Linked DNA regions of Alligator mississippiensis. The protein of the gene in region 1 binds, or shares a complex with, the protein of each later gene. Links are inferred from orthologs where the notes say so. Each region holds a gene or a part of one and is shown on either strand. Other genes may lie near its edges. The genes, in order: YEATS2, DR1, TADA2A and KAT14.

The links.
Region 2: YEATS2 (region 1) and DR1 share a complex: the UniProt entries of both Homo sapiens proteins name them as parts of the ADA2A-containing complex. The link is inferred for Alligator mississippiensis from reciprocal best matches to the Homo sapiens genes YEATS2 and DR1.
Region 3: YEATS2 (region 1) and TADA2A share a complex: the UniProt entries of both Homo sapiens proteins name them as parts of the ADA2A-containing complex. The link is inferred for Alligator mississippiensis from reciprocal best matches to the Homo sapiens genes YEATS2 and TADA2A.
Region 4: YEATS2 (region 1) and KAT14 share a complex: the UniProt entries of both Homo sapiens proteins name them as parts of the ADA2A-containing complex. The link is inferred for Alligator mississippiensis from reciprocal best matches to the Homo sapiens genes YEATS2 and KAT14.

What each region holds. Positions count from the first base shown.
Region 1 is NC_081830.1:41,937,710-41,945,288, forward strand, and holds the start of YEATS2 (YEATS domain-containing protein 2), read left to right. Parts: upstream 1-4,532; 5' UTR 4,533-4,594; intron 4,595-7,579. UniProt on the Homo sapiens protein: Chromatin reader component of the ATAC complex, a complex with histone acetyltransferase activity on histones H3 and H4. YEATS2 specifically recognizes and binds histone H3 crotonylated at 'Lys-27' (H3K27cr).
Region 2 is NC_081828.1:33,511,760-33,519,316, forward strand, and holds the start of DR1 (protein Dr1), read left to right. Parts: upstream 1-4,206; 5' UTR 4,207-4,541; coding exon 4,542-4,761; intron 4,762-7,557. Other genes in the region: retinol dehydrogenase 8-like, read left to right, coding at 1-62. UniProt on the Homo sapiens protein: The association of the DR1/DRAP1 heterodimer with TBP results in a functional repression of both activated and basal transcription of class II genes.
Region 3 is NC_081837.1:5,728,553-5,736,914, forward strand, and holds the start of TADA2A (transcriptional adapter 2-alpha), read left to right. Parts: upstream 1-5,324; 5' UTR 5,325-5,407; intron 5,408-5,438; exon of another isoform or gene 5,439-5,501; intron 5,502-5,700; 5' UTR 5,701-6,193; coding exon 6,194-6,218; intron 6,219-7,289; coding exon 7,290-7,396; intron 7,397-8,362. UniProt on the Homo sapiens protein: Component of the ATAC complex, a complex with histone acetyltransferase activity on histones H3 and H4. Required for the function of some acidic activation domains, which activate transcription from a distant site. Binds double-stranded DNA.
Region 4 is NC_081824.1:231,120,160-231,128,419, reverse strand, and holds the start of KAT14 (cysteine-rich protein 2-binding protein), read left to right. Parts: upstream 1-4,866; coding exon 4,867-5,122; intron 5,123-7,293; coding exon 7,294-7,412; intron 7,413-8,260. Other genes in the region: protein PET117 homolog, mitochondrial, read left to right, coding at 4,417-4,566. UniProt on the Homo sapiens protein: Component of the ATAC complex, a complex with histone acetyltransferase activity on histones H3 and H4. May function as a scaffold for the ATAC complex to promote ATAC complex stability. Has also weak histone acetyltransferase activity toward histone H4.

The DNA.
Region 1 (7,579 bases):
GCATGTATAAAAATGTCCTCAATGAGGTGTGGCGAAAGCTAATACAACATGCAGGAGATTATTGTAGATTTCATAACAGGACATTTAAATTTGCTATAGGAATGATTTAAATGGCTTCTGGCTGCTACTGTTCTGACCCCATATTGAACAAGGGGGCTGATTCAACTTACACTGGAGAAAACTGATATATTCCTATTGGCTTCATAAGGCGCGTCCAGATGAGCCCATACACGCCTCTTGACCCATCTCAAACCTGTTTGAGATGGGGCAAGAGGCACGTGCGGGAACAAGTGCAGGGAGAAAATTAGATCCTGGGGTCTAAAAAAACCAAAGTTTACAAAAGCAGGGCAGGGCATGGTCCCAGACTCTGCCCTGAGGCAACCGGAGGCTGGGTCCTCCACGGAGATGCTCTGGCTGCCAGAGCGTCTCTATGGTTTGCCCCTTGCCCTGGTGCTGAACCATGCGGCCTGCCAGACAGCGCAGCACCAGGGCTCCAATGCTGTAAGTAAGGGGTTGGGGGGGCTGGAGGAGGGGGGAGGGGACTATGGGGGGACCCCTGCTGGCCCCACCTGCTCTCTCAGCCCTCCCAGCCTTGCCTGACCTAAGCCCTCCTCCTGGATCCCCACACCAAATCCCTCCGCCCCCCCCCGGGGCCTTACTGGCAGTCCAGCTGCCGTCTTTATCGCTGGGGCCCAGCCCCCACAGCACAGGGCAGAGGAACAGCTCCAGCCGGGGCCCTCCTGCCCTGTGCTGCCCAGGAGGGCTCTGCCAGGAGGCCCCAGAGCCCCCCCAGCCCCTACTTTTCTAAGGTAAGGGGGGGGGTCTGTTTTTTTTTTTTTCTTGTTTTGTTTTTAAAGTGATGGTGCCTGGGGCTGGGGGGGACAGCCATGGGGGTGTGGGGGATGGGACTAGGCAGGGCAGCCACTGTGGGAGTCTGGGAGAGTGGGGGGTGGAGCTGTGTGGGTCAGCCATACTGTTGGGGACAGCACAGGTGCTGGCCCTGAGCTCTAGCTCCCCCTGGCTGCAAATCCAGGAGGAGCCAGGCAGGGTTATTTTGCCTTAAATGGCACAATTTGCTCCGCAACAAAGTTCATGTCCAAGCACGTATGCTGAGGCAAAAAGCCTTGGCTCAAATTTGTACTGCTTCTATTTGAGCTGCTGCAAGCACATGTGCTTGCATGTGTGGATGTGCCCATAATAGTGTAACTTGGTCTTATAATGATGGTGGGACAACAAAGCACAGGCAACACCCACTTAGTGAAACAGCGTTAAGCGGAACCCATTTCCCCATAGGATTTAATGTAAATAAAGATAATTGGTACTGCACCACCTGCCAACCCAGACCCAATGCTCCTGCAGCCCCACCCTGGGCCCCACGTTCCTGGCCAGGCCGCTCCTGGCAAGACATCATGCAGGCTCTGCTAGGGAAGGCATCAGCTCCTCCTGGCCTCATTGTTCCCCCACCGCAATGACCCCTGCCGGACCACACCTGCTGGCCACCAGTGCACCTGTGCACAGCCCCAGCTGCCCCAGCCATTGGGCCTGAGTCGGGGCTCTGGCGCAGGGTAAGCAGTGGGGCTACCCACCTGTCTGCGCCCCACTTTAACCAGCGAGGGCTCCCTCCAGGGCACCCGGCACTTGGACGAGCTGCCACCACCAGATCGCTGCAGGCTCGGGACAAGTGTATGACTGGAGATGACCAGATCGCTGCACCCCACAGGTATGACTGGAGCGGAACAGGGCACGGACTGCAGCTCGCGTGCAGGGGAGCTCTGTGGGCTTGGCTTGCACTGGCTCAAGCTCTACACTCCTGCCAGCCCTGGCCTTGGGCCCCATGCTCCTGCTGCCCTGCTGGCCCAGGCCCTGCGCTCATGTCCCCCACCCACCCTTTCTCGCTGCTGCCGCTGTTCCTCCCCGCCCGCTGGCCGGTCCAGCACCACATGCCGGAGTGGACCCTGTGCTCCTGGACCCTGCTGGCCTGGGCTCCAAGCTCACACTGCCTGGCCCCCCACCCTTCCCTTCTCGCTGCTACTGCTCCTCCCCGCTCCTGGGCTCCTGCCAGCTGCCACTCGCCTCTTCCCTCACTGCTGCCACCGCCACTACTGCTTCTCCCCATGCCCACGCTATAATGAAATTCACTCAGCGCCGAGTGTATCTAGGTAGGCATTTTAAATGAGCGCTATAACAAAACCACATTAAGCAAGGGTTGCCTGCATTCTGCTGTTCAGCTATATCAGGGGTGTCCCTGGTGCTGCCTACGGGTCTCGGTGTGACCCATAGGTGGCATGCAGGGTGAGCTGCATGGTCCTGCACATCTGCAGAGCAATAGAGCAACTACCATGTGCAACTGCCATGTGCAGCAGTTGGAGCAGGACTGGAATGTGGACTGATGTGTAGGTCTGGCATGGCCTGCAGAGTGGCCCTGCACCTCTCCTCCAGCCTGTGGGACAATGCAAGTCTAACACTCCTGAGCTACAAAGTGTCTCTCTTAAAATGTTTTATAATAGAAGCCTAAAACTTGCCATAATACCAGTGTTCGTATTGCATCAGCTTCACCATATAATTGTTTGCGATAGTCAAATCCTTTCAAAGGACTGGAACCAGTTACAACTTGCCAAGAATAATTTCTGTATTAGCAGAAGTAATCTCACCTGAAAGAGTAGTCTGTAGACCGTAAAGCAAAAATCCTTTGAAGGCATCTGGGAGCTATTCTTAAAATAAGATCACAAGATTTCAAAAGCTCCTGCTATTTCTCCTTGTTTGTTTTTCATTGATTTATAAGCAAGAATAGCAATAAAATTAAACTGAATTAAGATGTGCATACAATATTACATGGGCGATTGGTGCCTCCCGAGTCGGGGGGACCAGTGGGGCACGACCGGGGGTGGGGTCCCCCGGTGGCCAGCTCCATGCCCTCCTACCAGCCAAAGCGCTCGCTGTTGTGGGGAGGCACCAGTGCTCTCAGGGCAGGCACGTGCCCCCCTGCCCCCTCTGTCGCCTATGTAATATTATGGAGACATTATTATTGATGAATACAGTGCATGTTAAAGACTTGTATCTGCAGGCATTTATATGCGTTGTCCCCATTGGGATTGGGATTGATCATCTGAGTGTTGGCTGGAGACCAAAAGCAAATCTAAAAGCTGCATGTTTGAGTAGGGATGTTAAAGCCAATGAAAGGAGTAAGGATTTGCAAGATTGAAGTCGTAAACATGGTAAAGCAGAACCTTTCTAATGATCTTGAGCTCCAATGAAAATGAGGAAAGAAAAGTCCAGTTCAGATACCTATATTCAAATATCTTACTCAGCAAATCAATAGGACCATTGGTTGATTGAAGTGCTATTTGATGTGAGCATAGGTATTGGAGCTTGGGACTAAGTGAATAATTGAGAGAAAATAGTGACATCACATCACAAAACTGACTTTCCTGTTTTGTTTTGGACAACTGCAGCTTTAGTCTTGTGTGCTATGAACCATTATAAAGAGTAAATATGGCAAAGCACCGTATTTACTCACAAAATTAGATAATATGACCCTGAAGATAATATGACCCTGAATATAACATATAATTGTGACTCACAATAAGATGACCCTGAATATAAGATGACCCCCTGCCTCCCAATACTTAGATTCTATACAGTATATGGAAAAATTGCCTTTCCCTGCAGTCTCTGTCTTCCCCTCCTTCTCTCCCCACCTTACTGTCAGATACTGCTCAGGCTGTTCACAGGCTAGGGACTTAAGTTGCACATAAACCAGTTTAGGTGATCAAAAACTGGTTCAAACCTGTAACAGAACAAAAGCTCAGTGCATATAAACCAGCTTCAAAGTGGCTGAAACTGGTTTAAAATAAACTTGGTTGAATGTAGCATCAGACTTAACTGATTTGGGTCAAACCAGTTTATGAAACTTCTGTCCCAGACCCCTTCCTGGTTCCAAGTTAAATCACAGTACCCCCTAATGCTTTGTCACCCTGGGCTGTGCTGTGCTGTGCTGTCTGCTCCAGAAAGCAGGGCTAGCCTTGCCCCTCTATTCCCTAGCTGGAGCACTGAGGGCTGGCTGATAAGAGGGTAGGATGGCCATCATAGAGGACATTCCGGTTTTCTGCTACTCTGTCCTGTCCTCTATTGATACGAAACCCGACGCCTTTACATCCTGTCCTCTATTTTCTCTTCAAGAGAAAAATAGAGGACATACAGGTGTCTGGTTTTGTATCAAGAGAGGACAGAGGACATCTGGACTGTCTTCTATGATAGCCACCATATAAGAGGGTGGGGGGAAGCCTGGCTGGGGCTGTAGCCTAGTCTGCAGAGGGGATGGGACTGCCCCTCCCCAGGCAAGCCCCAGCTGGGGCCTGGGGCCAGAGAGGGGGATGAAATTCCCCTCCCAAGTACCTCAGAGTTACCTGGAAGCATGAAGAGGAAGTGATGAGCACCCTGCAGAGTCCTGCTGCTTTGATTTTGGACTGCAAATCCCAGAGACCTCGGGGGCAGCAGGAAAAGGAAGTGAACACACAGCCAGACAGCCATGCTCTAGTAGCTCTGGGCTTCTGGACTGAGCCACTACAAGCATGTGGCACTTCCTGAATCAAAGGTAAATGTCTGTTCACTTGTGTTTCAATTTAATATCTGAATCTTAGACTAACCTGCAAAGACTGAATCGATTCAGCCTCAGGCTTTTTGACTGTCTGTACTTAGCCATGGAGGCCACAGTGCTTGGAAGCTCAGCCCTTGCCTGGCCATGCAGTAGTACCAGTGCTGCTGATTGGCCAGGCAGGCAACACAGCAGTGCATGTGTGCTGCTGGGCAGGGGAAAGACTTTCTATGTGCCCTGTGCCTGGGAGAGACCCCAGCTGCAGCCAGAGCCCAGCTATGCCTGATAGCGGAAGGAAGGGAGTGAGGGGAGGAGAAGGGGAGTAGAGAGGAAGCGGAAGGGGGGCAGGGAGCTGCTGTGGGACTGACATAGGCTCAGGGCCAGTCGGAGCTGCAGCAGCTGCCTGCCCCCTCCCCTCCCCCTTGCTTTGTAATATAAGACAAGAGGTTTCTTTTGCATGCGGATGGGGGGGATCTTGTCATATTTGAGTAAATATGTAGTTTTTGCAAGGAAAGAATTTTTGTAATATGAGCTCGCTGGAACAATGAGGAAAATGGCTTCTGTAGCAAGCTAACAGTGCGACTTTTGCAGATTATAGTGTGTGAAATTGCAAGGTTCTACTGTTTCCTGTGTGGCTTTTTTTATGTGGTACCTTGATCACACTGCTCTTATAGTTTCATAGTTGGTAGGGTCGGAAGGGACTTGAGCAGATCATCAAGTCCGACCCCCTGCCATAGCAGGAAAGAGTACTCTTCTAAGAAGAGTGTTCATCTAGCCTCTTCTCGGTTACTATTTCTGATGCTGGAAAAAAGAAAAAAAATATTGCTTGACTGGAAACTCAAGATTATTTGACATTGCTTTGAGGTTTTTTTCTTTAATAATAATATAATTTACTTATCTGATCTTGGAGGATATTATTCTTGGTATAAAATACTTCTCTTTACCAGTCTTTTTCAAGCGTGCCCCTTTCCCATAATGGTACACCACATCCATGTGAGAAACTTTAAAATAAGGGTGTGGATATGATGCAAAACAAGCCTTCAGTTATGGGCAGCAGATCCAGATTACCTCTGGTAATTAGTAAACCGTCTGTTTATGTATTTTTGTTTCAGAAACACTGATATCAATCATAACCCAATGAAATTCCAAAATGAAAATTTCAGTGCATCTAATCTGGTGTGTACACCATGACATGAATATTTTTCCTAGCATAAACCAGAATAAATAGATGTGCTAGGAAGCTAAAAGATACAGCAGGGACACAGCTTGTGTCAGTTACTTCATATTTATAGTGTGGTGTAGTGCCTTAATCATAGATCTTGGCACTATTATGCAAGGCACAGCATAAACATGGAATAAAGAGAGCCCTGTCTCATGGGCACAGCAAATGGATATTGCTGGCATACAAGGGGCTCATAAGTAATAGAAGGAGGCTTTTCCTTTTCTGCTGAGGAGTCACAGCACTGCAGCTGTGACTGAAGAGTTTTTGCAGCAGTTTTGCAGATGTTTGTGGGAGCTCCTCCTGTCTTCAAAGTGCAGCATGGGGCAAGGGGAAAGGTATACATTTTCATTTTGTGATGAGCTTGTGGTATAGGACCATAGACTAGCTACTCTGGTCAGTTCTGGGGTACACCACCTACATTTTTTTCAGTAAATATCTTCATTCTACTGGGCAATTCCAACTCCTCCCCCTGTACAAAAAACCTTAAATAAGTTATCAACCTTATGTCAAACATACCAAGTTCCATAGGAGTCCAATCTACTGTGTTGCTGATCCTTAGAGAAAAAAATCCCCTGCTATCAGTTAACCAGCTGACCTCCATGACCTCAATCCCTCTGTTCCCCTTTCACGCTGAAACAGTCTCTCAAGACCTAAAACTCATGTTGTACATGTTTGCAGAACAAGTAAAGAAATGCTTTCTTCAGTTTCAAGGTAACCTCCAGAATAGGGAAGTGTTATTTTCTGTGGTAACTCTACTCAAAACGTGTACATTTGTGATGAACTGTAGGAGCAATAGAGGTGGGTGGTGGTACAGGGCAAAAAGTCATATGCAGGTCAGGAAAACCTCAGTATAAGCAGGCGGCCATGGACTGCTTGAAGGTAGAGCTAAGGGGAAAGAACAGCGCAAGAGGCAAAATAAGGCCTCAAAGTGTAGGAACGGAGTGGCTGAGCTGGTTTATTTTTTGGGTCTGTTTCAGACTTGAAAAGCCATGAGGCAAAATCCTGAAGAAGCAGGGCTGGAAGGTCATCTAGTCCAACCCCCTGCCTGAGGCAGGGTCATCCCTGTCCAAACCATCCCATACAACCATAATCTAAACTCTCCATCTAACCAACTGAGGTGCAACACGGACCTAATACCCTAACCTGCCACAGGTAAAGCAGGGAACCACGGCACCCTGTGTCCTACCCACCTGAAACCTCAGTATGTGCTCAGGAGCTCCCAGGTAGAGGGCTATGCTCCCGCTGCGGGGGGCACCGCGGTGGGAGCCCCGCGGCAGTAAGTGGGGAGCTCCTGCAGATGCTGCTGTAGGTGGTGAGCACTGCCCAGGGGTTGATGACCACCCACAGACACCGCTGGCAGGGGCCAGTCACGATTGCTGACCCCCTGCAGACACCACCAGCCTTTTCATAGGGGGTGCACCCATGTGCACCCCCTACTTGTGGCCACTGTGAGGAAGGAAAGCAACCCCCACCTGCCGTCCATCCCTGTCCGACCGTGGGGTCAGACTCCTGCCCGCCCCAGCTCTGACCAGTCGGGGAGGAGGGGGGGGAGGGGGCAGCAGGACGAGCCCCTCCAGCCTGGGGCCCCACAGGAGCCCTGGCACAGCCCAGGCCACGTCCCCGCCCCGGGCTGTAGCCGACACCCGGTGCCTCTGAGGGAACAGCCCGAGGGCTGCAGTGGGACTCTCCGCAGAGAGCGGAGCCTTTCCAGCGGGCATCTCCGAGGCCTTGCAGCTAAGCACAAGGGCAAGCCCTTGGCTGAA
Region 2 (7,557 bases), on another chromosome or scaffold:
CAAGTCTTAACTTTTTCAAACTGCTGAGATGGAGCAGTAGAAAGAACATTGCATCTATTTAGTTGATATATCAACATTGGCTTATTTTGAATTTAAAGTTCCCAGACCAGTATTTTGAAGATAAATGCTCTTGCCAGATCTGTTGTTAATAATTTTGGTTATCTTCTTTATGTACAGTTGTGCCTCGTAAAAATATTAGACTTATGACTATCAATATTTTGAATGTCTGTAGTCAACATTTATTGGAATTAAAAGTGAAACCTCCTGAGAGCAGTACAAAAAAATCTTATTTGTAGAACCTTATTGTAATATATAAGTGCTTTGCTAATAGTCTCAGGGGTTTAGGTTGTAGCCGTGTTGGTCTAAGGACATAGGCAGACAAGGTTCCTTGGGTGAATTTGGTATCTTTTATTAGACCAACCCAAATAGTTGGAGAATATTTATTAAGCAAGCTTTCGGATTCAAAAACTCTTCGTCAGGCTAAGGAAGTTTCAGCAGTTGGTGTGTGCTCTTCCTAGTGATTCTTGAATCACCTACTACCACCTAGCTCTCTAATACTGTATTTTAGAGTGTTAGAACAAGCTTGTTGTTAATAATATAAAAGATGTACAGATTTTTAAAATTGTCTTAAAATATAGTAACTGGAAAGTTTAAACAACTGATGTGTGTTTTAGTTTTTGTATAAATAAAAGAACATTGAATGTGTTATTTTTTTAAATGATGCTGCTACTCCTAAAGGGTCAAATTCAGCTTTGATATAATTTAGTAGGAGTCAGTGCAATTATCACAGAAATTAATTTGACCCAAGAAGCTTAAACACAATGCTTTGTGTATTTATAATCACTTTTTTATAATATCTTATGGTTATTTCCTTTTTTTATTAGGAATACATCAATATAATGAAGATTTTCCAAGCTGGCACCTAAAACTGGAGACTCTTAAAAATCCATATTTAGTTTTCTAGATAAATGCATTTAGATTTTCAAAAGCGCTGAATACATGCATCTCCCACTGACTTAATTGGGAACTTAAGTTGTTCTCTGTATTTGAAAACAAGACTCTTTTTACCTAGGTGTTTAAATATAGGTTTAGCAACCTACAGTTTCAGGCACCCAGATTTGAAAATGCTGGTCCTCAGCTGTCCTACATTTACTGCTATATTTGAATACCTGTAGTAGTCTGTTAAATTATGCCAGTTCCACTGACTAGTTCTGACACATCCTTGGGTTCCGCATACAAAGTCAGGTTTTCTTGTTTTATTTTTACACCTTGGCTACATTGTTAGTTTTTGAAAGGCGATATTTAGAATCTAAAGCATGTTCCTCAACAAACTGGAATTTTGAAGTTGGGTAAATTTTAAAAGTAATTTCCTATAGAGTGCTCTCTTAGACTTCCATAAAATTCAGCTTCCTGTACAAACTCCTACCATTTGCTTTTATGTGATTGGGCTCTTGTGGATTAACAGTGGTGGTGATTCTCTTTTGATTTTTCCCCAGCTATCACTGATCAAGGAGTCTTGCAGAAGAGACTCCTGGCCCTGGGCCTTATGTGATAGCGAGGGGCCAGTTTTCTGGCCTCTTAAATACAATGTCCTGGGTTCCAGATGCTGCTGTATCATGGGCAGTAACCACTGTCGAGTCTCACAGGGCAAACACTTGGCCTCAGGCTCTATATAGTACAGGCTATAGGCCTGCTGTTGGCGGGCTGTAAATTCAAGTCTCTTCTCTGTGGTGCCTTGCCTGGATGAAGTGCTGTCCCATCTGTGACCGTGACTTTCTTTTCTGCCCACCTGAACAGAGTGGGATCCATCTCCCAAATCTGCCTGACTGCTGCCACAGCAGGAATGCACCACGTTGTAGGGCCTGGTTTGCAGCCACAAGCCTCCTCAGAGGTGTGGGGGCCACAAGCCAGGCTTCCCCTTGCCCCCCCATTTGGGGTCTCTTCAAACTATAAGGGTGGAATGCTGTATTATTGGAGGAGTCTAAAATTATTCTGTGAGTTGCCTAGATGGTGCCTTGTGGCTGGGGCTTGGTTTGCTCCCCTGGGATCTTACCAGTCCAAGTGGATGTGCTGGGAGGTCCTAGCAAAGATCCATAGACGTGGCATACCAAATTGCTTGTTGATCACCCAAGCACAGAGTCCTGAGTTCAGCTCAACTGTGTTCCTTTCTCCTCCCCCTCTCCCTCTTTCCTGGCCAGTAGGGTTTTTTTTCCTTTAATTTGAATTTTCCCCAGTCCCTTGAGTTATCACTAGTCAAGGAGACGCCTAGTCCTGGGCTTGCTGGCTTCCTGACCACAAGGTCCTGAGTTGTGGATTCCACTGTGACTTGACCATACTAGGCACCTTAAAACTAGCATGTCCATGGCACGTTGGCTTCTTCAACCTGGCTGACAACCCATCTGGGAGAAGGAAAATTCCCAAAATTCAGTCTCACTCCCTGGCACACAATATCTGTTGATTGGTGATAATGTCCCCATTTAAAATTGTGACCATTGTCACAGACCAAATTAAATATAGCTCCAAATCTGGATCAGATGCGAGAGATATTGACATATTCCCAAGCATCTTGCAGTTATCCTTTAGAAGAGGAAGAGATCAAGCCTGTGCAGTAGGCCCCACAGCTGCAGTTAAAAAAGCAAGTGGAAGAGTGAGTAATGAGAACTGGTACAATAAATGCTGAAAGCATTGCAGGCAGGAGAGAAATAGTAAACCTCTTGGAAATAAGGAATGGGCAAGCAGGTTGATTATAATAAACACAAGGGAAGGATAGTAGTGTAAGAGAACAAGGAGCAGGATATAGGATCTTCTCTAATGCAGAAGAGAGTTGGAGTAATATTGCATGGCAGCCTTAAAGGCAGTGTGACTGAGTTCCCAAGTGACAGATTGATGGCAGCTAAGTTTGTGATGCCGGAAGGAATGTTGAACATATGCGCAAAACAAGGGGGCTGCAGAGAAGAAGAGAAAAAGGCTGCAAGAGTGCCTCTAGAATCCAATAAGAGCAATGAGAAACTGGATGTGAATGGACGTTAGAAAAAGAAATGAAGGGTTTAAAGTAATGTTGGAGGAATGAGTAGGGAGTGAGGAACAAGGATGGAGAGAAGATACTGGAAATGGCTGAAAACTTGAATATGTTCATTGCTAATACTGCATACGTGTGCTAATTGTCACTTACACAAATGGTCAGAACAAAAGTCAAATTGTTCTGGTCTTGGGAGCAGGTATAAGATGTGCAAAACAGATTCCCTAAAAGTATACTGGTGTGGTGCTGCTCATGGGAAATGCACTAAAGTAAATAACGTCACTTTGTCGACAACGCTCCCATTCTCGATCTCTCAATTACATGCAACAGAAATCTAGAAGTTTGTCATAGTGAAAGTCATAGCCAACAAATGTTTCAGCTTTATGCTTTTTTAAAATACAGTGCAAACTGTTTGCCAAAAATGCCTTTAAGTTGGAACAAACACTCATAGCATCAGTTTACTGAAAAGGTTTTCTAAAAGGTAAGTTCCCCAGGGAAATTCCTGAGAGTAGTGCCTAGAAAGCTAGGTTCAGTGTGGTCCTGGTAGGAAAATACTGTATTCCTTGATATCATGCATCTAAAAACTGGGGCAGCTAACAGTACTGTTTACGGCCGGGGCATCCAAGTCCCTGGGCTACGAGGCTCTTTCCAGGCAGGAGCCACAGGGCCAGCAGCAGCTACAGCAGGTCCAAGGGCAGCAGCAGCAGAACAAGCAGGGTTGTTAGCACAGCTCTCCGCACCCTCCCACCTGCGGTGGCCATGTCCAGCCCCGGGCAGGGCCCTGCCGGCTACCCTGGCTGCCACCAGGTCCTTTGAAGGGTGCGCGGACAGGCGATGGGTGAAGACGAGCATTTGCGGCCAGCTCAGGCTCGTTCCCGCCTGGACGAGGCCCCACCCTGCAGGGCCCAGAGGCCAGCGGGGGCTGCTCGGAGTCAGCGGCGCCGAGCTGTGCCGCAGGCCCCGTCGCTGCGCCCGGGGGCGGGGGGGTTTGGCGGGCGGGACCCGGGACGGAGCCGAGCGCCCGAGGAGCTTCCTGCTACGCGGCGCCCGCTCCCGCCACCCGCTGCTCCCAGCCGCTCCGCGGAGCCTCACAGCCCGACCCCGAGCCCAGCGGGCGGGGGCTGCCCCCACTTCCGGGCCGCGGCACAGGGGATCCCGGAAGCGGAAGTAGCCGTGTCCGGCTTCCGGCGGAAGTGGCGCTCTCGCAGGCTGTGCCCCGCGTTATCGCGTTTCCCTCTCGCGGCCGCTCTCAGCTCGGGGTGTCGCCGCCGCCAGCTGAGCCGAGCGCGGGCTCTTCTGCCGCCGTCTGCCCCGGGCCCTGGTCATAAGGCGGCGGCGGCGGCCGGCATGGCCCGAGCGCCCGGCGGTGGTGCGTGAAGGATGTGGTGGCGGCAGCAGCTGCGGGAGCCCTGAGCGCGCCCGGCCCCCGGGCGGCCGGTCGGTCCCGGAGCCGCGAGCGCCCCGCGCTGGATGTGAGGAGCGAGCTGCCGCGGGGTCGGAGCGCGGGAGCGAGCGAGCGAGCATGGCTTCGTCGTCCGGCAACGACGACGACCTGACTATCCCCCGGGCCGCCATCAACAAGATGATCAAGGAAACTCTCCCCAACGTGCGCGTGGCCAACGACGCCCGCGAGCTGGTGGTGAACTGCTGCACCGAGTTCATCCACCTCATCTCCTCGGAGGCCAACGAGATCTGCAACAAGTCGGAGAAGAAAACCATTTCCCCTGAGCATGTCATCCAAGGTGGGCGCCCGTGGCTTCGCTCCCGCGGGGGCCAGGGTGGGGCAGGCTGCCGGGAAGCAGAGGTCTCGTTACTCTGCCCTGCAGAGGCGGTGGGGCTGAGGTGACAGATATAGAAGCCGTGGCAGTCCAAAGTCAAATAGAAGCCGGGCAGGTCCGCACCTTCTAGACCAGTGGCTTTCAACCTTTTTCATACCAGGACCCATTTGTAAACATCCGTGGCCAGTCCTACTCTGGACCTGCTCTCACCAGCCCCCCTGTGTGTGGGGCAGGGGGTCCCCAAAGCAGCCCCTGGAGCTCTGCCAGCCTGCAAGGGAAGAGCCCCCCTTCCCCATGTTTTTCTCGCTTAAAGGAGAATCCATTTTTAAAGTTTGTTTCTAGCTGTTTCACATGTTCTTGCGACCCGCAGGTTGAGAAATGCTGTTCTAGGCCAGCCAAAGAGGACAGATACATATAGCAGTCCAAGCTTTCAGGAGCTGAAGCTTGCCCTCCCTCCGGGGCTGATGAAACCATAGTGGGGATTTCTCCCTTCCAGGCTCTGTTTTGTGTCTCGCTTCCTGGAATGCCTGGGCCAGGTGCCGAATCCTCCTGTATGCATGAGGTGAAGATGATCTTGGCCAGCAGCCATGCAGGCTGCTGCTCCCCCATCTTCCTCACAATGATTTGAGATCCAGTAATTGGTCTGAGGTTGCATCAGAAATGGGGGACAGGGGGATGACGCAGGGTTTTCAGTGAGGTCCAGGTCTTTCATTTCTGGATGAGAGTCCAGTCTAAGTGATGTAGTGAGGAGGGTTCTGGGATTCTGACCAAGCTGTCCTTGGACCAGCTTGGCAATTTCTGTATTAATTTCTGGTGTAGTAAGTGTGTCAATTAGAAATGTGCCCTTGTGTTCTCTGACATTTGGTTCCTACCCCATGTGGCTGCTGAAAATGAGTTTTTCTAGGATCATTTGTCCTCTTTTGACTACTTCCATAGCTGCTACATGCTCTCCTGTCTTCAAGGATGATGCTAATTAGGGTGGCTGTTTCGTAAATTACCACAAGTTTTGACAGTTTCATTACTGCCCACAGAGATATGAGGAGTAATAGTGAAAGTGAGTAGAGTTTTAGTTTTACTCTGCTACTGCTTGACAAAATTGTGAATGGCAGCAGCATAACCAGAGTGTTATCTCCAAGTCCAGAAAGACAACCAAACCATGCATTTGTAGCAGTTCCTTTTGAAAGCTGATTTATGAAGTATTAATGAATAATTGAAATAATCTAGATTATGATGGTTTTTACCAACTCAAGTCACTGAAAAGCTTTCCGTTTGCAATTTTTAAATGGATTTTTCACGTCCAAATTATGGTGAGCAGGTGAATTAAACTTTGTTGCAATAAACAAATCTTTGAAACTATACTTTGTGGTAGCATTGCCTGGAACTTGGACTCTAGAAAGTAAAACTCATACTTAGAATGTGTGTGATACTTCTTGTATGCTTTTGTGCTGATACATATAGTTGCCTCAAGTAGTCAACAAAGGGACCAGCACCATTTTTAAACTAGGAATAGTAGTGAGGATTAAGAAGCAAGACCAAGTGAAATCGGGAAATTGAATTGGGAAAGGCTGAAGAGTGGGTAAGATTGATCCTGTGGACAGATTTAATTTAAAATCATACTAATTAGTTTACCTTTTGTGCACAGTGATTATTTTTGGTAGGAAGTATATTCAAGGGGTTTGTATGAGGTTGGATACTAAAGTGAAGTGATGCACACAAGCATGTCTGTAAAGTATTGTCCCTGGTGTTTTATTTCATTTTATTTTTTTAAATAAAAAAAAACTTTAATTCCCAACTATCACACTTAGGGCCTGTTAAATATGGTAAGGAGGGTTTTATTGCCATAGAATTTCATATTATTCTTATTTTCCTTTTTTTGTTGTCCTTATTTACTCTTCAGAAGTGCGGGTGATGGTGGTAGTTTCACCTGTTCCTCCCATCCCTGAATCAGAAGGGTTTATGTCATTAAAGAAAATAATGTAACTTTTCTATAAGTGGCATATAATTACAGTATTTTCTGTTCCCCATAATTAAAGTGTTTGGGTTTTTTGTTTCTTCTGCCTTACATTGAGTTTTCTACAATAACTGACAACATTATTTGAAATTTTAGAAAGGTCTGATCAATTTTTTGTAAAACAAAACAACCCCCTGCCACCCCACCCAAAAAAACCAAACCCTGTTTTTATCTTATGGTACTGATGTGCTCCAGTAATTCTGGCATGTCTTCACATTCTGTTTGGATTTACTGCTTAAACCAATTTACTTGATACTGTAAAGAGGCTTGACTACCCTTATTTTGAGGCTCAGCCCTTCTGTTCTTTTAAAGAAGATGCCATGTTTGCTTTCCCCCCTAGTTCTAATATAGTAGCTAATTTTAATGAGAACCTGCATTACTGCTGCTGTTAGTAGCAGTTCAGTCTCTTTCACATCTCTCAAATCCATTAAACAGCAGTTGTAAAGTTTTCCTTCTGAATTTTATCACTGTTCTAGCACCACTTGTGAGACGCTCTAACTTCTTCCAGCTTAATTTGTCAAAAGAGATGATCTGTGGTAGGTCTACCTTTTCTTGCAGTAAACACTGGTGCACAGAAATCATCTGAGGTCTCAGCAAGGTCTTTATCCTTGATTACTCCTTGTGTTCACTTCTAATACAAAGGACTGTCCACTTCTGTAATCTTTCTTTTCCTGTATATTTATATAATTCCTTGGGGTTTTTTATGTTTGTTGTTTCCTCTTCAAAATTTCTCTTATCCTTAATCTTAC
Region 3 (8,362 bases), on another chromosome or scaffold:
TAAAAAAATACCACTATTTTTGTATCACTGTCATATACAGCTGCTCTAACGGAAGTTTCCCAATCACAGGCCCTGGTTCTCATGGAGGATTCAAGCACCCTGAAATCTGCCAGGAGGGCAATACAGCAGTGCACAGGCAATCCAGGAAATTTCTGGAGGGTGTTGGGGACAACTTCCTGGTGCAAGTGCTGGAGAGGCCAACTAGGAGCCATGCTCTTCTTGACTCGCTGCTCACAAACAGGGATGAATTGGTGGGGAACGTAGTAGTGGATGGTAATTTGGGCAGCAGTGACCATGGGATGATTGAGTTCAGGATCCCGAGGAAAGGAAGGAAGGAGACCAGCAGAGTAAGGACCCTGGGCTTCAGAAGAGCAGACTTCGACTCAAAAAACTCATGAGCAGGATCCCCTAGGAAGCCAGTCTGAGGAGAGGAGTCCAAGAGAGCTGGCTGCACTTTAAACAAGTCTTACCGAGAGTGCAGGAACAAACCACCCCAAGGAAGACGAGCAAATACAGCAGAAGACCAGCTTGGCTTAGCAGGGAACTCTTCTGTAAACTAAATCACAAAAAGGAAGCTTATAAGAAGTGGAAACTTGGACAAATAACTAGGGAGGAGTATAAAAGCATTGCTCAGGCATGCAGGAATGAAGTCAGGAAGGCCAAAGTGCAATTGGAGTTGCAGCTAGCAAGGGAAATGAAGGGTAACAAGAAGGGTTTCTACAAGTATGTTGGTAGCAAGAGGAGGATCAGGGAAGGTGCTGAATGGGGGAGGCAACCTTGTGACAGAGGATGCAGAAAATGCTGAAGTGCTCAGTGCCTGTTTCACCCCAGTCTTCACAGGCAAGGTCAGCTCCTAGATTACTGCACTGGGCAGCAGTTTGGGGAGGAAGTGAGCAGCCCACAACGGTGAAAGAACAGTTGAGGGACTAGTTAGAACAGCTGGACACACACAAGTCCATGGGGCCAGATGGGATGCACCTAAGGGTGCTGAGGGATTTGGCTGATGTGATTGCAGAGCCGCTGGCCATCATCTTTGAAAACTTACGATGATCAGGAGAGGTCCCGGATGACTGGAAAAGGGCAAACGTAGTGCACATATTTAAGAAAGGGAAAAAGGATCCAGGGAACTACAGAATGGTCAGCCTTACCTCAGTCCTTGGAAAAAATCACAAAGCAGACCCTCAAGGAATTCATCTCAAAGCACATGGAGGAGAAAAATGTATTAGGAACAGTCAGCATGGATTCACCAAGGGCAAGTCATGCCTGACCAACCTGATTGCCTTCTACCATGAGATGACTGGACCTGTGGATGCGGGGAGACCAGTGGATGTGATATACTTTGATTTCAGCAAGGCTTTTGATATAGTTTCCCACAACATTCTCATAGGCAAGGTAAGGAAGTACAAACTGGATGAACGGACTGTAAGGTGGATAGAAAACTGGCTGGAGCATCAGGCTTGGAGGGTAGTAATCAATGGCTCATGTCTAGCTGACAGCTGGTATCAAGTGGAGAGGTCCTGGGGCTGGTTTTGTTCAATATCTTCATCAACAACCTGGAAGATGGCATACAGTGTACCCTCGGCAAGTCTCCAGATGACAACAAGCTGGGGGGAGTCATAGATACACTGGAGGGTAGGGCTAGGATTCAGAGAGTCCTAGACAAATTGGAGGACTGGGCCAAAAGAAATCTCATGAGGTTCAATAAGGACAAGTGCAAAGTCCTGCACTTAGGAGGGAACAATCCCACGCACTGGTGCAGGCTGGGGCTGACTGGCTGGGCAGCAGCTCTGCAGAAAAGGACCTGAGGGTTACAGTGGGCAACAAGCTGAATATAAGCCAACAGTGTGCTCTTGTTGCCAAAACTAATGGCATACTGGGCTGCACTGGTAGGAGTGTTGCCAGCAGGTCAAGGGAAGTGATTATTCCCCTCTCTTCAGCACCAGTGAGACCACATCTGGAGTACTGTGTTCAGTTTTGGCCCCCCACTACAGAAAGGATGTGGACAAATTGGAGAATCCTGTGGACGGAAACAAGAATGGTTCGGGGGCTAGGCGATATGACTTATGAGCAGAGGCTGAGGGAACTTGGCTTATTTAGTCTGCAGAAGAGACGACTGAGAGGGGATTTAATAGCAGCCTTCAGCTACCTGAAGGAGGGTTCAAAAGAGGATGGAGCTGGACTGTTCTCAGTGGTGGCAGATGACAGAACAAGGAGCAATGGTCTCAAGTTGCAGCAAGTGAAGTTTAGGTTAGATATTAGGAAGAATTTTCTCACTAGGAGGGTAGTAAAACACTGGAACAAGTTACCCAGCAAAGTTGCGGACTCTCCATCCTTGGAGGTTTTTAAGACCTGGCTAGACAAAGCCCTGGCTGGGATGATCTAGTGAAGAATGGTCCTGCTTTGAGCAGGGGGTTGGACTAGATGTGACCTCCTGAGGCCCCTTCCAATCCCAATTTTCTATGATTCTATCTAGTTCTGGTGAAGCAAAATTAAACGCTACTCCCAAGATTTCTAGCCCAATGTTAAAGCCCCAAATGGTTCAGGATCAGGAATGAGCCTGAACAGGGACACAGGACCTAAGCCTCCCCCAGCCTCTACTTAACGCTGTGGAGGTGCTGAACCACATCTCAGTGTCTGAGCTTGGGCCAGCCACCATCTGTGCAAAGGCTCCAAACTGAATCTCTGATCACTGGCAGGTTACATATCTCTACCAAGAGCTTCAAGTTTCACAAATGAACTGCCAAAGGCGACATCCGCCTGTTCTGGAGATCAGCTCTCAAGTTCTCATGCAAATTTGCATACATGAATATAATAAGTAGCCTTCTGGTCTCACAGCGAACAACGGGACATTTCCTCCAAGGGATCTAGACTCTGTCCACCTAAATCAGCATCGCACAGCCTCTCAGGGTATACAAACAACATTTCAAACAAAATTAACATCACAACAGAAGCAGCAAAAACACATTACAGTCGAACAAACAGCAACAACTGTTTTGGGGGGAGATTATGGTTGCTTGGGGGGAGGGGGTTGGAAGAAGGCAATTAATTAATACTGGGTTATAATATCCAAGTTGTGGGTGATTAGGTCATGACCAGACCAGGTGTTCCACAGGGGTGGATTTTTCTACAATGTGTGTATGGGAAAGCAATGATGTACAACAGCATCATAGATGCATGCCTATAAAAAAAAAAAATCCACCTTAATCTCTGGAGCAGGACTTTGATACCAAACATAACATGTTCTGGTTCAATTGGTCTGGCACACAGAAGAGAAACAGACCTCAACGAAAACTTGTAGCTGAGCCTTCCCTGACCAACAGTTTTATGCAAAGCAAGATTCCCTCTGTTCAGGTATCTGCCCTCATTCTCCTAGCAGCAGATAAGCAAATGCAAAGAGGACTAGAGTGCAACACAGCAGGAAGGAACAGGGTAAGGTCACTGGACGGGGAAATATGGACAGGGAAGGAGCAGAGATACTAAAACAAAAAGTGAACCCGGATTCAGGAGGCCGAACAGCTGATCTCACCAATAAGGAAACTTCTGGAAGCTTACTTAAGGGCTCCTAGCGAGGAAGGGAGAATGAACTCCTCCTTGGTATAGCTACGTTGAGATCAGTGATGTCACGCCAGTGAACGCGCCCGAAAATAGAGATGAGCTGCAAGTGAATTGGTATTACACAAACTAAACCATATACCCAGGAAAATATATTACAAGCGCACTAAACACTTACAGAGGAAGACTCCATCGGAGCTAACAGGAGATAAAAACACGACACGAAGAACTTGTGGACCATGTGAGAGAAACTGTCTGATCAGGCTCCCAATCTGGTAAGGGAACACCTGCAGACTCTCTCAACCCAAACGGGGCTCGTATCCCAGCTCCATCTGGGGTGTGGTCTTTTCAGTTTATTCGGCCGAAGATCCCCTGTCCTCGTAAGGGCAGAGAGACCCCGACTGCAACTCAACACATAGATTTATAAACTTTGGTTACATAAGCCTTTCCCATAACACATGCACAAAACTCAGCAGAAAATTACTAAAATGGCATGACTTTGCTCACCCCACATGGTTGGGCCCAATCACCTTGCTTGCCCGCCTAGAATGACAGACTAGTGGCAATCTTAGTTCAAGGTTGCATCAGCCAGCATTGATCAACGGTCATACAAAGGTCACATTAATTTTCCAACATTTTCTAACAACCAGCAGGCCAAAGAAGCAGCAAATGCAGCAGGCGAGATGGGCAGAGAGGAACATCAACATGATCTAACATCTCCCCCTCCCACCTTCCTCCAAGGTTTTGGATCAAATCCGCCCTTTGGTGCAATAGGTGATTTTGATGGCCCCTTCAGTTTGGGTTGGGGCTGCGGCCCTGAACAGGTGCATGCAGACCAGTGAGTGGGAACTAGAGCCTTTCTGATTTGGGCTGAAACCTTCCACTTTCACATCACCCTGCATCTCATCTCATTCCTCACATCCCTCCTTACCTTCTCTTCTTCCTAACAAAGCGGTGTCTCGCCCTGTGCCGCACCCCTTCGCCTGCACCAAGACACGCTCCCAGCAGTCTTCCACAGCTCCTCCGCAGATTGCTTCTCACGTGGTCCTGGCAGAGCGCGTCCCGAACGTGCACCTGTGTCTGGGATATTTGCAGGGGTGTATTTGGTAGGTCTGTTGGTCTGAGACAAAAAGAAATGCAAAACTCTAGGGCACTTGGTCCAGAGATGATAGCTTTTATTAGACCAACTAAGAAATCACAAAAAAAACCACCCAAACAAACTTTTTTCCTGGGATATTTGTAGGGATTGGCGATTATTTTGCTACCAAATTGTCCATGATTGTTGTTACAGCGGGGAACAACTCCTCATCCTTCCAGCTGCACCAGGACACAGTCCTGCATGGTAGGTGAGGCTGTTTGGGCGGGAAGGGGTGTTTTGAAAAGGATCTTTTAAATGTATTTTAATTTTTTCATTGAAACAAAATGTTGTTTCCATTTTACAGGGGTGCAGGTTGTAGCCCTGCTGGTCTAAGGACAGGGGCAGGCACGGTTCTTTGGGTGAACGTGGTCTCTTTTATTAGACCAACTTACAGTTGGAAAAAAAAATTCTTAGCAAGTTAAAATATTTCCATTTCATACCCCACATATTCAAGCGGCTCCCCCCTTCTCCTCCCTTTCACACTTTGGCCCAGCCTCCACATTGAACAACCCCATTCCCCACCCAGAAGAGGAGCCCAGTAGCCACGTGCGTGGCGCAACACGCATGCGCACGCTGCACTACGGACTCTCCCTTCCCCACGTGGATGCTGCGCCACGCATGCGCACGCCGGCCAACCCCTGCAGGTGCGCATGCGGACACCGCCCCGGCTGGCCTTCACCCCTCGCGCATGCGCATATCCCGGCCGCTGGTGGCAGGGTAAGGAAGGGGGGGCGGGAGCAGCTCGCGCGGCCGAAGCACGTGGGGGGGAGGGGGGAGCGCCCGGTGGAGAAGCGGCGGCGGGAGCGACCACGTGAGCGCGGCGGCGGGGGGGTGGGAACGGGACATACCAAGAGGGTGGAAAACAACCGGGGAGCACGGGTGGGCCGGCTCGGGGCAAGTGGCTTCCTCCCCTGTTGTCTCAGTTGCCCCGTCTGTGAAATGGGTTTATTGACTAGATGCACGTAAAGCGCTGAGAGCCTAAATTGAAATGATTTGTCTTTTTTGGACAGGAATAATTGGCTGGGCCGCCTCATCAAAGCCCGCCCGCTCCTGCACCTACGAGGACCGCGCGCCGGAAAGAAACGCCGGTTGACGTTTTTGTTCGCGCCGACTGCAAATAAACCGCGGGAAGACGCAGACCCGATCTAACGCCCCGAAGGAGGGGAGTTGCAGTTTGGCGGGCAAAAATTACGGGCGCGTTATATCGAGATTTTTGACGCTGCGACCCGCGTCGGCGATCGCAACCATTACTGGGCCCCATCCGTCTTCTCCGCGCCCAACGCCCCCTCGATCTTTAGTATTATGACTCCTGGCTTTCTGCGTTTGGTTTCAGAAAATAGACTTTCGGCCGGGGTTCCTGTTGCAGTGACCGCTGGCGGCGCTGTTGCCAGAGCGGTCCTGGCCATCTGAGGGGAAACTCATCTACACTAGGGGCTCCATAGCAGCCTAATTTATTTTGGGTAGAGGCCACCTGGCCGGGCCGAGCTCAACGGCGTGAGGACCATGGAGCGCCTGGCGTCGTTCAGCAGTAAGTACCGTGCCTGCAGGTTCAGCGTGGACAAGGCGCATCAATCACGCCGCTGTTTAGGGGAAGCTGGAGCTCGCTGAGAGGAGGAGGTCGCGTGCTGCATTTCAGCACCGAGTCCAGGGACTGACAAAGGGCTGGACCTAGTCGGTTTCACACCCTGCGAAACCGACTAGCTCCGAAACTGACCAGGTCCCGTCATTTTCCAGACTTTCGATAGCAGCCCTTTGACAGCTGCTGCTTCACTGTTTTCTTCCACCGACTGGTACGCTGTCAGCCGGAGTACGGTTACGTTACAAAAGTAGATCTCGCAGCTAAAATGTGCTTGAGTGGCTCGTTCATTTCAATGATACGCAGACAGGGCATTTGTATGCTTGTAAGTTGCTGCAGAAAGCACCCAGTGCTGCAGCGCTTGCAGATGTATAAGTGGCAAAATGCACATCAGTGGGAAGAAAGTGGCAGTGGTGTGGTTTTGAATTAAAACACCTCTGAAGTGCTTTAGTTCAAAAGCACACCGCTGCCATTTTCTCTGCGCTGACACGCATTTTGCTGCTTACACAACTGCATGTGGCACAGCGCATTGCGCGTCGGCTCCCACGCGGGGCAGACTCGATTAATCGAGTCTGTTCTGAAGCGGCAGGTCTTTGGCACATCCGAGAACTAAAAAAATATGTGTATACCAGTGTTTGTTCTAGTGGAAGCAAAAAAAATTAAGACCTGCTTCATATTAGGCAGCAAAGAGAATTATGCATTTATCCAGTATGCATGTAAGTAGAGTTGACTGCAAACATGTGAACTCTTTCCCTGCAAAAATAATTCATTTAAAAATGGAATATAAACTGAGAATCTAGAAGAGTGGAGACACACTTTCTATAACCATAGGAAATACCTTGAGGGACCCTGAAAGGTCATCTAGTCCGTTCACTTGCTATTCCCAGGCAGGACCAGCTGTCTATAAACATATACCTGCATTTTAAAACTGAGACTAGCCATTTTGAATAACAGTATAAACCACAGTTGCATACTTGTGTTGCACTGGATTTCTTTCAGCATGTTTTCTTGCTGGTTTTGTAGATGACCCATTTGATAAGCCCCCTTGCCGAGGCTGCTCTTCATACCTCACAGAACCGTACATCAAATGTGCCGAATGCGGCCCTCCTCCTTTTCTCCTGTGTTTGCAGGTAAGCTGATGGTAAAAAGTGAAAACGTATGCTTTCTTGAGAAGGTTATCAAGACAATTTCTGGTGTTAACCCACTGCATTACTATTGGGCTCATATCATCTCAAGTGCACCTCAGAAATGTTTGCTCAGGGACCAGGAGAAATGTTAAAGGCTGGAGGGAAAAAAACAAAAAATTTAACATGAGCAGATGAAGGAAATCCTTGAGTAGGCAGCAAAGGACAAACCAGGAGACACGGGCTGCTGACCCATGTAGATAGCTGAACCATCATTTGTCCTATCGCCTATCATGTCTCGGGGTTTATCTTACCACTGAGCTTCCTTTAAAAGTTGGAGTACATAGCTATGAGCCACCCTTAGTATAAAATAAAAATGCTGATCAATTAAATGCATTTGCGTGAGAGAGTTCAGTTCATGGAAGAAAACATGACATGTTTGGAGCTTTGGGTAAACAACAGCTAACGTCTTTTCAGTAAAGCCTAAGAAGATTCAGAAATGAAGCTGGGGGCTTTTGACTGCACCAGTGATCTTTTAGTTCTCTTGTAGGCAAAGTTCATTCATCTCAAGATACAGTTGTACATACTACATGAGCAGGTTAAATTTCTTTTCTGTCTTTGTTTACGCATGCCTGCATATTTGCGTGTGAGTGCATGCATGCATGTGTGTTTCCTTTAACGAAAGGGAAAAACTTTTTTCTTTCATTAAGTTGCTCCATATAATGACCACCTATAAGTTTTATAAGGGGTGTTCACCAGGATCTGGGGGAAGATTTGTTCACCAGAGTGTCCCAAGGGATGACAAGGTCAAACGGTTATAAAATCGTGCAAGACTGTTTCAGGCTGGACATAAGAAAGAATTTCTTTACTGTCCAAGTCCCCAAGATCTGGAATAGCCTGCCATCTGAGGTGGTTCAAGCACCTACTTTGAATGCCTTCAAGAGAAATTTGGATGTTTATCTTGCTGGGCTC
Region 4 (8,260 bases), on another chromosome or scaffold:
AGATTTGATGGAGCCTGTAAAACCCTCCAGAGGTGGAGGGGTCAGATGAGTCTGTTGGTCAGCTAGGCGGACCTGTTTCAGGTCTTTGGGTGACCAGGGTAACATGAGCATTTTTTTAGGGGCTGATGAAAGAGTATTTTATCCCCATCGGTTTTTTGGAGATAGAACCATTTCCCATCCAGATTGTTCACACCAGTGTGCAGATAGCTGTTCTGAAGACTAGAGGCAGAATGAATGTTCTTCTGTCTCCTGTTGCAGATGTATAACCCACGGGCTTTTTCTTCCATAACAATCTGTTTATAATCCTTTGTATTTTCAAGGCTCTATTCAGAAATTTCTTTCTGTAAGGAAGAGCTGAGATTCTTCTTTACAAATCCAGGGTCTGATAGCCTCAGGCTTCATGGCACCCACGTATTTGCTTCTGCTGGGGGACAGAAACCTTGGGAGGAGGCTGAAAGAGCTGAGTGCAAGGTGGAAGGGGGCAGGGCTTGGGAGATGGTTTAGGTATGAGCAGGACCTCATTGGGAATGGATAGAACCTCCAAAGATTCAAACAGATGTCCTAATGTTAGGGGAAGAGCAAAATCTTACATAGCCATATATCCGTTTCTGCCCCAGCTCCCATACTGTGCAGGATATTTAAAACTAGCCTCTCAAACCCAGATCCTCTGAGAGTGATGTCTGGTGCGTTGTCAGTGCCCAAATTTAACTAAATCAATTCAGTTTAGCCACTGCAAACCCTAAATATGGATGCTCTTGTGTTTAGTGAGGTCTGGTTTATATCCATTTACATTAATCAACTTCTAGCCTTAATAAATTAAGTTAGTAAAAGCCAGTTATAATTTCAGTTTGTATATATTTAAATGAATGAATTAAAAAAAAATGGTGCAAGTTCCTGTGTAAAGAGAAGGCCCAAATCTGTATGCACATACTCCAAATCAACTAGTGATATTTGGTAGCTCTTAGTGACAAATGATAAAAACTACCATATTTACTCAAATGCAAGACAACTTCAGATTTAAGACAGCCCCCTTACCCCTCCCCCCCAAATAATTAGCATCTGGGCATGGAGAATTATAAATTTGTTATAACTTTCCATGTATAATATATAATTATTGGAGGGTTGTCTTACACTTGCCTCCGACTCTAGCCTCTAGCTTATGCCACCAGAGCTGGTGTTGCACTAGCCACCTGTGCCGAGGAAGTACTCAAATCCTAGATAAGCCTTTTTTTCCCCCATGTTGAATGGGGCAAAGACTTGATTTGAATAAATGTGGTATATACTTTCAGAGCTCTGAAATTAATGAACTTGCAGTCTGATAGATTCTAATCATCTGAATTCTGTGGGATAAAGCAGGAAGCAAACATGTTTCTAGCCTCAGTTGTTCACTTGTTCTATAATCTCCATACCTTTTCTAGATTTTGATTAGCTAATTCTATTAAAGTAATTAGTTTGCCAGGTCTACCATTAAATAGTAGTAAGTTGTAACTTGTATTAACTTGATTGAAACTCATGGGAAAGCACCTTTGTCATCAGATTAATTGCCAGAGAGGTTTTGAGAAAAGTGGATAAAATATTCCTAGCCTTTGTATTTCTTTTAAATTAAAGTACTTTTTGCATAAAGTATTTTTTTTTCTTGATAATTTTCATGGAAAAAATATTTTCCTGTGAAATGTATAATTAGGTGGATTCTGGATGAAAAATAAAAACTTTCTTTTAGAAGTGATTAAATAATACATTTTTTGATAACTTGATGACTTTATAGTTAGATTTCAAATAAGTGATTTACCTATTTTTAGCATTAATTAGCTCTGTATGGGATTAGACAATATTTCTGAAATAAATTGTTCAACATTTTTTGTCATTTCGTTAAATAATTTGTCATGCTTTTTTCTCCCTTGTGTTCAGCCAACCAGTTTAAGTACATACGAATGCATTTGGATCCTGATCAGGCAAAACCTGGATCCCAAGCACATCAGCATTCATAAAAGTTAGTACAGTGTTTCTCAGTCAGGGCACCCTGTGGGTGCTGTGAAATCCTTTTCAGGGCATCATGGAGTGCTGCACAGTATTAGCACTGTTAGGTGTGTGGATACCTCCCTGCAGTACCCAGAGATTTCAAATAAGAATCCATGGTGTCAACAACATTCTGACCTGCTGAGGTCTGAGTTCTTTGCAGCAGAGTAATTGATTCTTATTTTTCCATAGTTCACAAGCTGAGTGAAAGCTAAGAGCCGGCGTTTTCCAAGGGGCGCCTTGAGTATACCGAGATTGAGAACTGCCGCGTTAATACATTCGGCAGGGGTGTAAGCCTTTCTTCAGATTAAGACTTTAGTAGGAGCAAAACATGACCATTATTATGCAGCAGGATCCATGTGGAGGCCAGTATTGACTTTTCTACTGTTGTTTTATATGTTTCTTTCATCAAATACAATATTGTAATATTGTAGTAAGTTTGCTTGAAATCTGTTCATTTACAAAAGGGTTGGTGTCAGTGTCAGATATTACATCTGCTGCTCAATGCCTCCACCATGTTTTATGGTTTTGTAGTTTTATTTTCTTAGTTTAAATATGCCTTTCTCTCCCTTATTGTGGTACAAACACACACGAGCAACAGGAGACACTCACAAAGACTCCAATTCAGCCTTCAGATCTATCCTTATAGATCCAGCATCTGGGTTGAGGCCTGATTGACCATGTGTAGCGAAAACGGTGACACTAACTGTGCACAAAGTGCAGTGAACTGTGAAGGTGGATCCCCACTGAGGTTGCGTAGGAGGCTCTACTAGGGTGTGAGGGACTCTGCTCAAATTTCGCCATAGGGTTAGGACCACAGTGTTGTCAAATGCACAAAGTAACCAAGCCAAAGGAAACTCTTCTCTTTCAAGACTAGTAATCTTGCTTAATTTTTACAAAGACAGCCACTGTGTAGTCTGTGTTAATGTCTGATTAATTTTAATAAGTATTGTTAGAGAAATGACCCGTGTTATTTTTTCAAGACCTTACAATAAGCACATTCTGGGTCACCAACAAAATCAGAGGAGACGTTAGATTCAGGTGTCTTAAGGGTAAGAAACAAGCAGGAAGCAACCATTTCAGTCTGTGTTTTGTACATCACAAAGAAGTGGAAGATGGCACAAGTCCTCTTAAAATCCTTCCAGGTCACCACCAAGTTCTACTCAAGCAAAGGAGCACAAAGAGAGAAATTTGGGACAGAGTTTAATTTTGGTAAAGGCAGGGAGTAGAAGTCACGATCTTCTATAGAGTAAGGGCTCTTCCTGTAATGCTAAAGATCAGGGATTGGCAATGAGTGGCTAGAGCCAGAGGATCTGGCCTGCAGAAATAGTGGGTTTTGCCTTGGCCCGTGGCAGCCAGGAGGTGCATTACAGTTGGTCAGCTGGAAGCTGTGTCCATCTTGTGGCCACTTCTCCCAGCCCCCCGTAGCTGCAGTATGGGTGCCACTTCCAGTCAGTGTGTAGCTGAGCTGGAGTTGTGCAGTTTTCAGCTGCTCAGCTCCCCTACCTCAGTTTCCACTGACTGGAAGCTGTGCTTGTGCTGCAGCTGGGGAGAGGTGGAAGGAGGGGGATGGAGCTGTGATGGTACACACATCTCCCAGCTGTCTGGCCCTGGCACAGTTCCCCATCAGCTGGAAGCTGCGCTTGTGCCCCAGCCAGGGCTAGGGACTAGAGAAGCAGCAGCAGTGCCTGCCGCCCTACCTCACCCCACTTGCTGATTCTCTGCCAAAACCACCTGGTCTGCCCCAGACTGGAGCTGGGTTGTTCTGGCCCCCAACTTACAAAGATTTCTGACCCCTGCTGTAAAACAGCGATTCTAAACTAGGGTGCCACAATATATTTTAAGAGTGCCATGGGGGTGTCACACTATGTCAGCACTATTAGATATGCAAACATCTACACATGATTCACAAGATAAACCCAAAGTTTTCAAATAGGGATCTATAGTGTCAACAGCATGGTGACCTGTTGTGGTCTGTCTGAGTTCTTTGCAATAAAAAATTGCTTTTTTTTTTCCCATAGTTAAGAGATGAGTGAAAACTAAGAGTGTTTTCCCAGGAGTGCCTTGAATCTAATGAGGGGTGTCCTGAGTTTAAAAAAAGGTTGAGAACCACTGCTGCAGGAATTATCCATATACAATGTTGATAGTTGCTCACCAGGTTCCCCTCATTAAAACCATACAGCTAAGTCAACAGAGAGTGGTTTTGGCCCCTTACCAGCAGCTTATCAACATCTACCTCTCAGATCCTATATTTAGGTACAACTCAAGTCACTGAGGGAGAACTAAAGATTTGCAACTGTTAAGTGATTATCCATCCTGCAACAGGGATTGGAGTACAAATGGAGATTAATCACATATAGCACAGGCTGCATTGCGATGAGCCATGTTTTGTGTTTTCAGAGACTGCGTGAAGGTGTACTCAGAGACCTCGAGAGGCAAAGTCGCAAACAAGAGAACATTCGCCTTTTAGAAGATCAGATTATTTTGACCAAGCATCTGGAAGCAGAAAGAGACAGGCAGGCTCTGGACAGAGGACCCCAGCAATCCTAGATGTAGAACGGGAGTATTAGTTTTCACTGAAGACACGCGGAAGAGATTGCGCCTGCTTGTGCCTTGGTGTTTCCATATACGCAGGTTGTCGCTGAAAGTCCATCTCTTCTAGATTAATTTTAATCCCACACAGAAAATTACAGGCATTAGTAAATGCAAACAGAAGGTCCTTCTGGCTTCAGTATCTTCATGTGTGCGGGGGACTTGGCTGGCTTATCCAATGTGGCTGATACTTTAAACATTGGGAGGGGGGGCACCTGGTAATGTAAACTATCCTCTTTTTCTCCCTGTGAAGAAGGGATGGATGGTAATGTTCACATGAGTGGGCTAATGAGCCGTCATGATGATGAAGCCACAAGGACATCCACCTCTGAAGGTCTGGAGGAAGGTGAGGTGGAAGGGGAGACTCTCCTTATTGTTGAGTCTGAGGATCAGGCCTCTGTGGATTTATCCCACGATCAAAGCGGGGACTCTTTGAACAGTGATGAAGGGGATGCATCCTGGATGGAGGAGTTGTCCTACTACTGTGAGAAGTGTCAGAAGTGGATACCAGCAAGTAAGTAACAATGCCTTTCCTTTGTTTCCTTGATCACTTTCTTTTTGTGTGTTTGCTTCTGCAGGTGTGTGTGTGTGAAATATTCTATATTCTTTTCTTGGACAGAGCACTGGACTGGACCTTGAGAGACCTGGGTCCTCTTTGCATCTCTGCCTCTGGCCTGTTGAGTAATGCTGGGCGAGTCACTTTATCTCTTCATTCCTCAGTTTCCTCTTCTGTAAAATGCAGATAATGAGTCTGATCTCCTTTTATAAAGCACTTTCAGACCCACTGATGAAAAGTGTTATATAAAAGAGAGTTGTTGTTGTTATTATTTTTATTTTCCTGGTTGATTTGTTGTTTGTATGAGAGGTATGGGTAACTCTCAACTGGTATGTATAAGAAATATTCCTTTATACTCTGCACTTAGTTTTGCATTTACAGAAGAGTATAAAGTCCTTTAGAAGCATTTTGGGCTAACCAGATTAAATTAATTCTCTGGTATCTCTGTTTAACATAATAGAAATGAGTTTAGGTTTCTCCCTGTACTAGTACAATAGCTGTTACTGTCCAAAATCTAAGCACTGCTCCATTTGTGGGAGCAGAAAACAAACCCTTCAATCTGGGTCTGCGCCTTTCAACTACTTTGGCTAGCCATCTTGCTAAAAATCTGCCAAAACCCTTGGAGGGAAATCCCATCCCCAGGGAAGTGGAGGGGAGTCTTGCCATAAACTTTTAATGGAGCCAGGATTTCTCTGTTGGTGTTCAGTAGCAAATGGCTAAAGGGACACAGTCAACTTAAAATTAAGTCTGTAAAAAAACAATAAATTAAAAGTAGCATTTGGTGGTCCCTCTGACTCTTGAGTCCTGCTGCTGCTTTTTTTATTTTACAGTCCAGTTTTCCATTCTTCCCACCCTCAATCTTTGTTGTTTGCATAAAAGATACAAACAGCAAGGGAAACTGGCCACAGAGTGAATGTGATCAGACACAAGTGTGCAGAAATAGAAATGTTTTTCTCTGATGTCTTTCAGTGACAGTGATCCTAGCTGTGACTTACACCACATAAAAGTATGTTCAGAGATGGATTCCTTTTGGCAATTTTGCTAGTATGACAAATAGCTTTGCCTAGCAAGAGCTAATGTTTCATTAACATTATTATTAGTCTTTCACTAATACATTGTGAATTGCTGTAGTGGGGTCAACAATGTAGTAAAAGAGAACTAGATGATTGCGTTAAGCACTTTTAAAAATTCCAGATGTACACTGTTACTGTTCCTATTTGCTAGTGATATTTATGATTAAATTAATCATAATTCACTAGGGAGTGAATCTTACAATCCCAGGTCTTCTCATTTCCTCTTTTCCACAGTAGAGAGTCTCGTTAGCCTTAGAAGGCTAAGATTTTTTGGATTGACTCTCTTCCATCAAGGCCTTTTGTTAAGTCACACATATTTAAGGTCAGCAAAAGGTCTTAAGCGCTGAGATGCTTTCCTGAGTTAGGATCTAGAAGAATAAATCTTAGTCAAGAACAGCTATTTCCTGGTATCATCTTCTATTTCCAGCTGGATGCAGCGTTCCCCTGTCATAGTGCCAAAGAAAGAATAATCCCATAATATGGGTAAATAGATACCTTAAGGTCTTACGGTAAGTCTACCTCTGTGGGTCTCTGACTGCAGAAAGAACAGCTTCACATGCAGTGAATGCGTGGACAGTGAAAGGAGCTAGAGGGTTACTTAGCAGTGGAAAGATGGCAAATGAGGAAAGACGTGTATATTCACAGACCAGGTTATAGTGGCATCTTTCACAGGGTTGCCTTTTTGACTACCTGTCGCCTTTATGAAAACCCTGGGGAACTGTGGGGAGGGGGTAAAAAAAGGCAGAGGAAATAACAGGGTCTAGCTAAGTCTAGCAAAGTTTTTGATGTTTTAAATGTATTTGAATGCTAGGTAGAAGACCCTACTTTAATGCATGTATTTCTGTATTGGTTCCTGCTGGTTTCTGTAACTGTACAATGAATCTATACTTTAAGCATCACACACAGTTTCTGAACTTTTCATGAGTACTCAGGGTTGCTGAACTGCAGCTCAGGAGAAACGTGTTCCTGTAGGGTGTTGTGGGGAATCTATATCTACTTTTCAATGCTTTTCCTCAAAAAAAACTGAGGCATGGGTCTTTTCCTTATTCATTTTAGGTCAGTTGAGAGAACAACTCAGTTACCTCAAGGGAGATAACTTTTTCAGGTTTACTTGCTCTGATTGCTCAGAAGATGGGAAAGAACAGTTTGAACGACTGAGACTGACATGGCAGCAAGTAAGTAAAAGTCATCTTTGTAGTAGAAGAACAATAAGACCTTCAAAACTTGTTGTTTAAACTGTACACACAAGTCCTAGACATTAGGAGGTCAGATATAGGAGGCTAAGAAATGTACCCAGGAGCTTCCAAAGTGAGTTTTCTGAGGATTGTTAATTATCGACTTGATATTTTGTGAGTAGATCAGAAAGATCGTCACAAGACCCAAACTGCTCACTACTCAGTACCACTACATGCCAGTTTGGAAAAGCAAAGAAAATGTAATTTTTGCTGTTGGCTTTTTGGGCAAAGCAAATGCCACCAAGAGGGTGATGTTTGAACAAAAAGCGTGCTAGCTCACTGGAAGCAAAAGCTTATTGGCTGTCCATGGCTGTAGTAAGTTCTGGTATAGCAGTACACTTAGCTGTCATCTTTGTGGGATTTACTATTTTAGTTACTTCTATACTTGCATTAGTCAAGTAATCTCTGATTTATGTAACAGTAAGTTTGATAGTCATAGTGATGCCTCTTAGAAGGGATTCCTTGTATGATATAGAGTTTAGGTTTGGATTTCATAGCTTTAGGCTGGCTGTGCTTGAAATAAAGAACTCTGATATCTTAATGAAAATCACAGCTCTGAAGGTTTTCTTCACCTTTAGCTTTAAGCAAATTTGGGCTATTTACTCAGTTCTCATAGGACTGAGTCAGGCTGATGTATACCCAGTGTGCATAACTGCTGGAGTGCTTCTCTGCTCTTCTGATTTGGGGAGGGGAAGGGAAGGAGTGAGCCAGTTCAGCAGCTGTGATTAGGAGCTTGTGTTACAAAGCAGACCTTCTGAGCGCAGTTACCTCTGGATCAAAAATAATCA